Linked DNA regions of Macaca fascicularis. The protein of the gene in region 2 interacts with the protein of the main gene of each other region in a biochemical or structural test. Links are inferred from orthologs where the notes say so. Each region holds a gene or a part of one and is shown on either strand. Other genes may lie near its edges.

What was found.
Region 1: of the proteins of PLK1 (region 2) and CSN1S1, one has a biochemical effect on the other in vitro, tested with the Homo sapiens proteins (2 studies listed by BioGRID). The link is inferred for Macaca fascicularis from reciprocal best matches to the Homo sapiens genes PLK1 and CSN1S1.

What each region holds. Positions count from the first base shown.
Region 1 is NC_088379.1:64,019,592-64,023,890, reverse strand, and holds the start of CSN1S1 (alpha-S1-casein), read left to right. Parts: upstream 1-1,499; 5' UTR 1,500-1,511; coding exon 1,512-1,562; intron 1,563-3,711; coding exon 3,712-3,744; intron 3,745-4,188; coding exon 4,189-4,209; intron 4,210-4,299. UniProt on the Homo sapiens protein: Important role in the capacity of milk to transport calcium phosphate. Casoxin D acts as opioid antagonist and has vasorelaxing activity mediated by bradykinin B1 receptors.
Region 2 is NC_088394.1:22,756,241-22,763,437, forward strand, and holds the end of PLK1 (serine/threonine-protein kinase PLK1), read left to right. Parts: intron 1-1,873; coding exon 1,874-2,029; intron 2,030-3,067; coding exon 3,068-3,145; intron 3,146-3,664; coding exon 3,665-3,819; intron 3,820-3,907; coding exon 3,908-4,090; intron 4,091-4,273; coding exon 4,274-4,477; 3' UTR 4,478-4,780; downstream 4,781-7,197. Other genes in the region: ERN2 (serine/threonine-protein kinase/endoribonuclease IRE2), read right to left, coding at 5,260-5,472, 5,559-5,626, 5,711-5,834, 6,376-6,503, 6,597-6,744. UniProt on the Homo sapiens protein: Serine/threonine-protein kinase that performs several important functions throughout M phase of the cell cycle, including the regulation of centrosome maturation and spindle assembly, the removal of cohesins from chromosome arms, the inactivation of anaphase-promoting complex/cyclosome (APC/C) inhibitors, and the regulation of mitotic exit and cytokinesis.

The DNA.
Region 1 (4,299 bases), on a different chromosome or scaffold from region 2:
AATTTCAGTAGAGACTTGGGGTAAGGTAATTTAAATTATTTTTACTTGATTCTATGAGAAGTTGTTATGCAAATAATTTATTTTTGTAATTACCATAACAAAAACCATTTCTAGCAGAATATTTCAAGGCCATTTTTGTTTCATGTCATTTGGGTAATAAAGTTAACTCTGCAATGTGTTTATCTATAATAGGTAATTAGATATAGATGACTACTTTGTACTGATTATTAAATTTAGATATTCAGAAAGACACAAATAGTAAATTTATTTGGGTTCAAAATATGCCTTGTTTATTAACACATTTAGATTCTAAAATTTGTAGACTGAAGCAATATATATAAATGTCAACATAGTATGTTGATTAATATGTGAACCAATAGCATGTGTGACCTGATTTTTTTTCTAATGATTTCTCTGGAAACCATTTTCCCGGTACATGTGAATGTCCATATTTCTGGGTGCTTGCAACTTAATGAAACTAAAGAAATCAAATATAAGACATGTCAATATTTTGATTCTATCCAATTCAATCATCTTCATGCATTTATGTCATGAATATTCCAATGTAGCAAAACATGAAGTTATGACTAGATTATTTTTAAAAATAATTGAAGGAGATGAATAGCTTTTACATAACATGCAGACAGGATTTTTCATGAAGACTCTAAAAGAAAAGAATGCTCTCAAATAGATTTAAAAGAGAAACTCATTTTCAAAAATTTTCAATCAAATTAAATTCCAGTTCTCAGTGGATTTTACTTTATTGCTCACTTTAGAAAATCTGATTTGTGATCTAGGAGGAAAAGTGTTTTCTTTTTTCAATTGTATTTCAAAATTAGCACTTCTCTGTTTCTCTAAGCCCATATTATTACATTAAGGACAAAATGTCATGTTTTAAAGAGTTAGTGAAGAAAAATGTTTGTACGAAATAAGTATTTCTGAATAATATAAGAACTATGACTAGAATGATAAACATTGATATTGAGTAGTAAGGTTTTTAAAATCTTAAGTTTATAAAAATTCACGTTACAGCTCCTCAAATCAGCCTATTTTATCATCATTTGCTCCTTTGTTGAAAAATCAAGGGTTTTTTTTTTTCAGGAAATAAATTTAATATAATATGCTATCTTCAAACCACACTGAAGGATGGTGTTAACAGTTTCTAATTCTCCATACACCTTTCTAATTTTCCAGTACCTTTAAACTAAGGAATGAGTCATCTCATTAACTTACCATTCTCTACATCACAATAACAATGTTTTTAGATATGGTGTAATCTCCTGTGGTTTCTAAGGAACCACTCTGATCACCTGGTTTATGGCTATCCTTTCAATTGGTAATTCAACACAAGTTTTATGTGTAATTTTATATTGATAATGGAAAACAAGTTGAGATGATTAATAAAGTGTAAAAGCAACTTTATGTAAGCCATGAAATAAATAAATAAATAAATAAAAATAATACTATCTAACTCTTTCTTTTTTTGTCCTCTTACATAGGCTTTTATCACCATGAAGCTTCTCATTCTCACTTGTCTTGTGGCTGTTGCTCTTGCCAGGCCTGTAAGTTCAGTAGAGAATTTAGAAAGATTTAGATTCTTGTTAGAAATGACCTAACACTTCATCAAATATGGGATACCCAGAGGAATAATCTTCAAGCACTGCATGATCTCTAGTTGGCCTCTGAAGGCTTGACAATAGAAATACAGTAATGCTTCCCATTTTCATCATTGTTATACAGTCCACTGAGAGCCATAACTCTGAATAAAATGTCTGGCTTGAATTATAAGCACCCCACAATAAAAAAGAGCTAAAAATTTAAAAGTAAGAAAAAGAATAAGGTAGTGCACAACATAATAAGTAGCATCAAACAATGTGATTAGGCCTGTTCCTTGAGTCTACTACAAAATTCTCATGTTTCTAAAAATGTAATAGTAATCCAACATTTCTTTACCAAATATAACACAAAGCCACATATTCCAATGTATCCTACTTTTGGAATCAAAATCAAACCCTCATCTGAGATGGCTTGTGTCAACTTTTCTTCCCCCCACAAGGGATAGAAACCTGGGGTGATTCAGCTGATTGAGTGATCAATTTATTGTGGTCACTGTAAACAATGTAAATAATGAAATTAGATAATGTATATTAAAATTACCTTTCTTCTCAAAAAGAGTGTTTATATCAATTAGATAGGGATGTGAACCAAAAAGTTTCTCTATTCTCTTGTTATGTGTAGTTAATGAATGAGAAGAATAAACACCTGACTGAAAAAAACATCAGTTTAGAGGGATGATTGGAGATATTTGGACACTGAAATTATCTCATACAGAAGCAAAATTTCTGAAATGCAGATATAGTCTGTTGTTTGCACTGACAGACTTGTTCTCTAAATTCCCCTTTGGAAACTGCAGAATCAATCATTGTCAACTTCTGAACCAATAGTCTTTGTTTATGCTATAATCTAAGCATCAATAGAAAGAAATCTCTGCTTGCAAGTTACCAAAACAATGATACATCTTCCTCAGGAATGAACCATCTGAGCAGTTCTTATCTTGTCATTTTACCAGGAAGTGGGGAAAAGCAGCCCAGAAAATAGATGCTACACTTTTATTCCAAAGGAAACAATAGAGTTATGTGTTTGTTTGTTTATGTCACTGTTTAACATGAAGTCTATGCAGATTGAGATCAATTGTCATATAATTTAAGTGATGATAAAAATAAAACCTAGACAATATACCCAAAGGATTATAAATCATGCTACACCCAAAGGATTGTAAATCATGCTGCTATAAAGACACATGCACATGTATGTTTATTGAGGCACTATTCACTATAGCAAAGACTTGGAACCAACCTAAATGTCCATCAATGATAGACTGGATTAAGAAAATGTGGCACATACACACCATGGAATACTATGCAGTCATAAAAATGGATGAGTTCATGTCCTTTGTAGGGACATGGATGAAGCTGGAAACCATCATTCTCAGCAAACTATGGCAAGGACAAAAAACCAAACACCGCATGTTCTCACTCATAGGTGGGAATTGAACAATAAGAACACTTGGACAGGGGAAGGGGAACATCACACACTGGGGCCTGTTGTGGGGTGGGGGCAGCGAGGAGGGATAGCGTTAGGAGATATACCTAATGTAAATGACGAGTTAATGGGTGCAGCACACCAGCATGGCACATGTATACATATGTGACGAACCTTCATGTAGTGCACATGTACCCTAGAACTTAAAGTATATAAAAATAAAAAATAAAAATAAAACCCAAACATTTGAATTAGGAAATTATAATTTGACCAACATTTTTTTATACTAGTTTAAAATCATCTTTAGAATTTTGGTGTAATATAAATAATTCAGAAAACTAAATAAATTGTTTATTATTCTAACCCAGAATTATAAATTCTAACCCAGAATTTTTCTTTTTAAAAGATGTTTTACATAGTTTTCTCAACTCCCAGCCACAATCTAAAGAAAGGAAATGATTATTTTCCTTTGATATTTGTCTATAAGATAATTATGATTTCTTTTTTTCCACTGTATTCCCAGAGAAACTTGGTCTCTGACAAATATTGTTATTAAAACACATACCTTTTGGAAATAGCAGTGTCAAAAATCATCATATGTGTATTATTATATTGTTACTGTCATTTTAGTTACTTTTTGTTTTACAATTCTTGCATTGTTTTTCACAGAAACTTCCTCTTAGATACCCAGAACTCCTTCAGGTAAATACTCTATTCTGCATTCCAAGAACTCACTCTAATTGTGAAGTGTATACTCCAAATGTGCTCTTCCTTTCTCTATGAAACAGCCTGTTTCACTTTTGCTGACGCACCATTTCTTTAGTTCAAGCACTGCCAGACGTAATTTGCTCTCACAAACTTAGAGGACGACACACAGACTTAGAAAAAAAAAATAATAATAAAGGTCTTATTTTTATCCAAGAGAAGTAGTTAATTAAACAGAATCTGTTGACGTGCTTATTTTAATGTATTCTTGCTTTTTTTCATTGTTACACATATTCAAGCCTGTGATTTACAGTTTGGTCTCATTAGAGATGTTGAATCTTGAATTAGTTACCTCTATCACAACTTTCTATGAGCACAACTAATCCTACATTCTGTACTGCAATTGGAATAATACCATTTTAAACTTACTATTTTTTACAGAATCCATCAGAGAGCAGTGAGGTAAGCTCTGTTTATGAGGAGTCAAGATTCTCTCTTCCTTTTGCTCTCTTTCAGTTTGCTATCATGCATGTTGATTGTCTTCTTCTTTAC
Region 2 (7,197 bases):
TCAGCTACTCAGGAGACTGAGGCACAAGAATCACTTGAACCCGGGAGGTGGAGGTTGCAGTAAGCCGAGATCTCACCTCTGCACTCCAGCCTGGGCAACAGAGCAAGACTGTCTCAAAAAAAAAAAAAAAAAAAAATTTTTTTTGTAGAGACAAGATCTCACTATGTTGACCAGGTTTATCTCAAACTCCTGCCCTCAAGTGATCCTCCTCTGCCTCCCAAAGTGTTAGGATTACAAGCGTGAGCCACTGTGTCCTGCCTACAGTGATGTTCTAATGGCAATTTTTCTTTTCCTTACTTTTTCTACATTTAATAATTGGAATTCTCCTGTAAGGAAGAGCTGTTCCTTCTCTCCCATTGATTTATTTATTTGGTTATGTCTGAAATAGACTCATGGATATTTTATTCTTTGGGCTATATTTTAAAGGATTACTTATTTCTCTGTTTTCATTTATTTTTTTTAATTTGAGACAGGGTCTTGCTCTGTTTCCCAGGCTGGAACACAGTGGCACAGTTGTACCTCACTGTAGCTTTGACCTCCTGGGCTCAAGTGATCCTCCACCCTCAGCCTCCCAAGTAATTGGGACTGTAGGCACGTGCCACGTCTGACCAATTTTTAAATTTTTTGTAGAGATGAGGTCTTGCCCTGTTGCGCACACTGGTCTCGAACTCTTGAGCTTAAGTGATCCTCCTGCCTCAGCCTCCTACTTTTTGTCTTTCAGTTTTAATTTTTCATATAGCATTTTAAAAACTTAAGGAAATTTTCAGTTACCCAAAGGTGGAGAGAACTGTATGATGAGTCCCATGTTTCATCTATTTTTACTACTTATCAACATTTGGACAGACTTTTTTTATTTATTCCAGCCTCTGCCTTTTTTGTTACTGGAGTTTAAAAAAATTATTATTTACTATTTATTATTATTTATTATTTATTTGAGACAGTCTTGCTTTTTTGCCCAGGCTGTAGTGCAGTGGCAAGATCATGACTTAGAGCAGCCTCCACCTCCTGCGTTCAAGTGACTCTCCCACCTCAGCTTCCCAAGTAGCTGGGACAGCATGTCCAGCTAGTTTCTGTATTTTTAGTAGAGACAGGGTTTTGCCATGTTGCTCAGGCTGGTCTCAAACTCCTGAGCTCAGTCTACCTGCCTTGGCCTCTCAGTGTTGGGATTACAGGTGTGAGCCACTAGGCCTGGCCTTGCTGGAGTGTTTAAAGCAAATCCCTAATATCTTATTATTTCATACCTAAGTCCCTATCATGGCATTGTTTTTTAATTGAAAACTTAAACATTTTATATTATGCAAGGAGAATTACCACATGTTGGTGGGGGAATAAATAAATAAGGAAAAAGACAACAAAAATAATCTGTGTTTCTACTGCCCAGATATAATCAGCGTTAAAATTTCATGTATCTTTTCAAGCTTTTTTTGGTTATAAATAAGCATATAAAGCAAATTTTGGGGTGGAAAAAAATTTCTTGTGTTTTTATTTAAATGCCAACTGAATCCATTCTGTGGATGAACTGAACTACTCAGCCCTTCCATCTGCCTGGATGCTGAAGATGCTTTTAATTCTTTGCTCGAAGCTGGGCAGCTCTGAGCTGCTGTTGCCTTCAAGCTGTTTGCCTGAGTGGCAGGTCGTATCCTGCAGGGCCACATCGTTGGGTCAGAGGCCAGAGCATCTGAAGATCTGTTGCCTCACAGTGAGCACTTGTGCCTGTCACCTGAGCATGGCAGCTGCTGCTCTAATAACCAGGCACTGACTCAGTTTCCCCAAAGCAATGGTAGCTAAGAGAATTTTTCTTTTGGAAGAGTTTCAGCTGTGGCAGGGGAGTCCTATGCCCTTCCCAACGCCCCTGTTTTTGTCACCTTTCTAGGCTTGGAGAACCCCCTGCCTGAGCGTACCCGGGAAAAGGAAGAACCAGTGGTTCGAGAGACAGGTGAGGTGGTCGACTGCCACCTCAGTGACATGCTGCAGCAGCTGCACAGTGTCAATGCCTCCAAGCCCTCGGAGCGCGGGCTGGTCAGGCAAGGTGGGTACTGCGGGGCCCTGGGCGGGGCAGGATTGCTTGGGGCATCTGGAGAAGGCAGGAGGAGCCTTGGCCAACAAAGCACTGGTGACTTGTCCAGGCCCCGTCTCCATAGGACCATTGGTTTCCCCATTTCCTGATATCCGAGGCCCTGCTTGCTGTGGCTCCTGCCTTCTTTTCTGATCCGTCTCTTACTCTAGCACCTCGATGTGCCACCTTCACACGCTGTTTCTTTTGCTCAGTAAGTTCCTGTTGTTTCTTCAAGACCCTTGAAATAACAGACCCAGACGTACTGCAGCCTCAGGGCTTTCTCCCTGGCCCTGGCATGAAAGCACTTCTTCCAGACACCACATGGCTCACACTGTGGCCTCCTTCAAGTGTCTGCTCCGGTGTCACCTCCGTGAGCATCTCCCTGGCCCCTCTGCTGGTGCTTCGCATCCCCTTACCCACTGCATAGTTTTCCATAACACTTCTCACCCAACATAGTCCAACACGTCCTTCTTCTTTGATTGGATTTAAAGTAAGGTGTTTGTTGCATGCACTGAATATAACATTTTCATGTGTTTGCAGCCGGCGTCTGTCTTCACAGTTTCCTAATTACTCCAAACTGGAAAACTAGATGTCTCTGACTCTTACCATGATAGAAGTCACTGGTATTTTGCCCATACTTAATTTGATTAGTCTTTGCCCCTGCAACCACAGTGTAAGCTCTGTGGAGGCTGGGGTTTTGTCTGTTGCTCACTGTACCTGCAACAGTGCCTGGCACGGTAGGCCTTCAGTAAATGGGTCAGTGGAATGAAGGAGTGAGTGGAACTTGGTGCGCTGTGTTGAAACTTTCTGTGTAGAGATGTCTATGCTGCTGCTTGTCTGAGCCTGTTGGCAGCAGAGGCCCTGCTTTGCTCTTCTCTGGGGCCCTAGGCCTCTCAACTGAGCCCAGGTGGTGTGCCCAGCAGGCTTCCTTGTTCCCTGGTGTGGGCCACATGTGTGGACCAGAGAAGAAGAGGCTGGTCCTGACCAACTGTCTGTCTGTTTCTGTCTTAGAGGAGGCTGAGGATCCTGCCTGCATCCCCATCTTCTGGGTCAGCAAGTGGGTGGACTATTCGGACAAGTACGGCCTTGGTAGGTTTCTTCCAGAACCAGGTGGGTGACTCAGGCACAGCCAGGTAACCTTTTCAGTTGTTACAGGCTCTGGCCTTTTTGAGCTCCCAGGTACTCTTAGTGCCCTCCTTTCTCCATCCCAGGCCTCCCAATTCCAGCTCCCAGTGCTCCCCGACTCCCCAGCCTTTTTCCCCCACTGCCCAGAGACAGGGTCCTACTCTGTCGCCCAGGCTGGAGTGCAGTGGCACAGTCATGACTCACTACAGCCTCAAACTTCCAGGCTTATGCCTGGCTGCAGGCTCAGCCTCCTAAGTAGCTGGGACTACAGGCATGCACCATCACGCTCAGCTAATTTTTAAAATAGTTTGTAGAGATGAGGTCTCATTACATTGCCCAGACTGGTCTCAAACTCCTAGGCTCAAACAATCCTCCCCCCTCAGCCTCCCAAAGTGCTGGAATCACAGGCATCTGCCACCGCACCCAGCCCCACTCCCCACTTTCTATTCCCCCTTTCTGAGACCTCTCTCCACTGATCCCTAGGGTATCAGCTCTGTGATAACAGCGTGGGGGTGCTCTTCAATGACTCAACACGCCTCATCCTCTACAACGATGGTGACAGCCTGCAGTACATAGAGCGTGACGGCACCGAGTCCTACCTCACCGTGAGTTCCCATCCCAACTCCTTGATGAAGAAGGTAAGTGCCGTCCGGCTATTGCGGGAGTGGGACCTGTGCTGGAGGGCGAGACTCTAATTCTGGAACCCCTCACTTACTTTTCATCCAGATCACCCTCCTTAAATATTTCCGCAATTACATGAGTGAGCATTTGCTGAAGGCAGGTGCCAACATCACGCCGCGTGAAGGTGATGAGCTCGCCCGGCTGCCCTACCTGCGGACCTGGTTCCGCACCCGCAGTGCCATCATCCTGCACCTCAGCAATGGCAGCGTGCAGATCAACTTCTTCCAGGTGAGCTGGATGTCACCAGGGGCAGGAGAGAGCTGGGGTAGGCTCCACGTGCTTGGCAGTGGCCCATGTGAGTTGAGTATGGAGTGAATGGCTCAGGTACCTATAACCTGTTGTGTCTTCCCTCTACTCCCTAACATACACTGGCCTCTGGGATCAGCAATCCCTGCCCCTCTTCTCTTGCAGGATCACACCAAGCTCATCTTGTGCCCACTGATGGCAGCCGTGACCTACATCGATGAGAAGCGGGACTTCCGCACGTACCGCCTGAGTCTCCTGGAGGAGTACGGCTGCTGCAAGGAGCTGGCCAGCCGGCTCCGCTATGCCCGCACTATGGTGGACAAGCTGCTGAGCTCACGCTCGGCCAGCAACCGCCTCAAGGCCTCCTAATAGCTGCCCTCCCCTCCGGACTGGTGCCCTCCTCACTCCCACCAGCATCTGGGGCCCATACTGGTTGGCTCCTGCGGTGCCATGTCTGCAGTGTGCCCCCCAGCCCCGGTGGCTGGGCAGAGCTGCATCATCCTTGCAGGTGGGGGTTGCTGTGTAAGTTATTTTTGTACATGTTCGGGTGTGGGTTCTACAGCCTCGTCCCCTCCCCCTCAACCCCACCATATGAATTGTACAGAATATTTCTATTGAGTTCGGAACTGTCCTTTCCTTGGCTTTATACACATTAAACAGATGTGAATCTTCTTTTTCTTGTATTTCCTGAGGGGTGCCAGGGCCTGGGATCCAGGGAACATCTCTGCTTCATCAGCCCCAGGCTGCCCAGCCTCTGCCAGTCTTGTGGGGGGTAGGGGGTGACAGTGTCTGTGGACCAGACTGGAGTGCAGTGGCATGATCCTGGCTCTCTGCAGCCTGGAACTCCTGGGCTCAAGCGATTCTCCCACCTTAGCCTCCCAAGCAGCTGGGACTACAGGCGTGCGCCACCATGCCTGGCTAATTTTTCAAATGTTTTGTAGAGGTGGGGTCTTGCCATGTTGGCCAGGCTGGTCTGGAATTCCTGAGCTCAAGTGATCCTCTCACCTCAGCCTCCCAAAATGCTGGTATTATAGGCGTGAGCCACTGCACCCAGCCTGGCAGTCTTTTCTGATTCTGATTCTGAGGCCAGCCACAGGCTCAGCTCTTCAGCTAGCCAGCATGGAGACCATTTGTGTGGCCTCCGGCCCACCTCACCTCCCTGCAGCCCCAGGGCACGACCCCCTGGCCTCTGAGTCTGGTGGGTAGTAGGGCAGGAAGAGGCTCTCAGAGGCGCAACTCCTCATGACTCGGTGCGTGTGGAGGAGCAGCTGTGGGAAGCGGTTTGTGAAGTACTGGACGAAGCCGTCAGGGACTTGGCCAAGTGCCTGTTGCACCTCAACTGGGAGCTCCCTGTAGTGGTGCTTCTGGGGGTAGGTAGAGCAAGAGAACCCTGGCTCAGCTGCAGCCGTGCTTCCCCAAGACCCAGGCCCACCCAGGCCCCAACACATACCTTGTTCCTCACAGCACGGAGCAGGTCTCGCACTGATGTCCCCTTATAGGACCGGAACTTTCTCAGGTCTGTGGACAGGGAATTCAGTGTCCTGAAACTGTCCCTGCTGGGCTCCCCTCCACCACCCAGGCCCACCTGAGTGTAGCCTCTACCTGTCTGCAGTGGCATGGAGATGTGCTCGTGCCAGTTGTCCCGGACCACCGCGCAGCCTCCTGCCTCCAGTGCCCTCATCAGGGGCTCCTGCTCAGACTCCTTCTCCAGCCAGTCACTGACATCCTGAGGCCCCAGAGAGCTCCTGAGCCTTGTGACCGGGGCCAGATGCCACATAGCCAGGAGTGTGTTGTCTGACTTAGGGGAGTGATTTAGGGTGACTGACAAGGATCATTGCCTCTGGGGGCGTGAAGCTTCTCTATGCCACGCCTCTGTTATTTACCACCAACCTATGAGCTTGGTACTGCTGTCCCCTTTCTACAGATGAGCAAACTGCAGTTCAGAGGCACGAAGTCTCTTGCTCAAGTTCACACAAGTGCAGTGGGCTACTGGCACAGCATGAGTGACGACTCAGGTGGAAAGGAATGGGCTATATTCCCATACAAAGGGTAGCTGGGGCTGGCGAAGCTGGCAGTGAGTGGACCGGAGAGTGCCAAGATGGTGGAGTTTAGGAGTCCAGGCTGGGTCCCAGTTTAGGGAAAGAGCCAGGTTGCCAGGACCAGGTAGCTCTTCCTGTTTTCCCTCAGCCAATCTAATATCCCATTTCTAATTGCCCAGGACCCAAACTTAGGACTTTTGGGGACCATTCCCAAGCTTTCCTTCTGACCTGGAAGAACTGGAGTTGCTTGGCTCTGCTCCAAAAGAAGGGGTGGGCCAGCACCTGGGGGGCAGAGGGGCGTGCCTGTGGCAGCAGGCTCAACATGGCTGCAACCAGGTCCCGGGCAACCACCTTGTCTGGAGGATGGAAGAGGAAGAGAAAAGTCTGCTTCAGGCCTGCCTAGTGTCTTGCCCTTCCTCCCTTCTCTGCCCAGCCCAGGGCTCCCTCACCATGGACCTCTTCCTCCAGGTGAGCCAGACAGGGAACCCCTGTGAGGATGTTTGCCTGGCGATAAAGACTGTCTCCAAAGGGGTGGCTGCCACCAGAAAGCACGTAGTAGAACACGCAGCCTGCAGAGAAGATGTCCACGGCGCTGGTCTGGGACAAGAGAGATGGGCGTAAGAAGGAAATCTCTGCTTCCAGGAAGTCGGCCTGGCTAAATTCTCCCATGGGCTGATAGAGCAGCCAGGGGTTTGGTTCAGACTGGAACTCAAGAAGCTTCCTGAGCAGCATCTCCTTGGCTCTAGATGCTCCCTGCCCACACACACACACACCACTATAGGGGTCCCATGGTTTTCATCCAAAACCTTTGCCCCTGCTGAGCTAGTTCAGGTTTCCAAGCTTCATTCCTGCAGGGTGTAGGCAGGTAACATATGTGGGTGCCAGACATGAGGCAATAAGGCAATCAGGAGGACTGTGGTGACCTGGCATGGGTTCTGTCTGCAGGGGCACCTGGTCCTTAGCTCCAACCCATTGTCACCAGGGGACTCTCCAGGGTGGCAGAGCTGATTTTGTTTTTTTTGAGTTGGGGCCTTGCTCATGTTGCCCAGG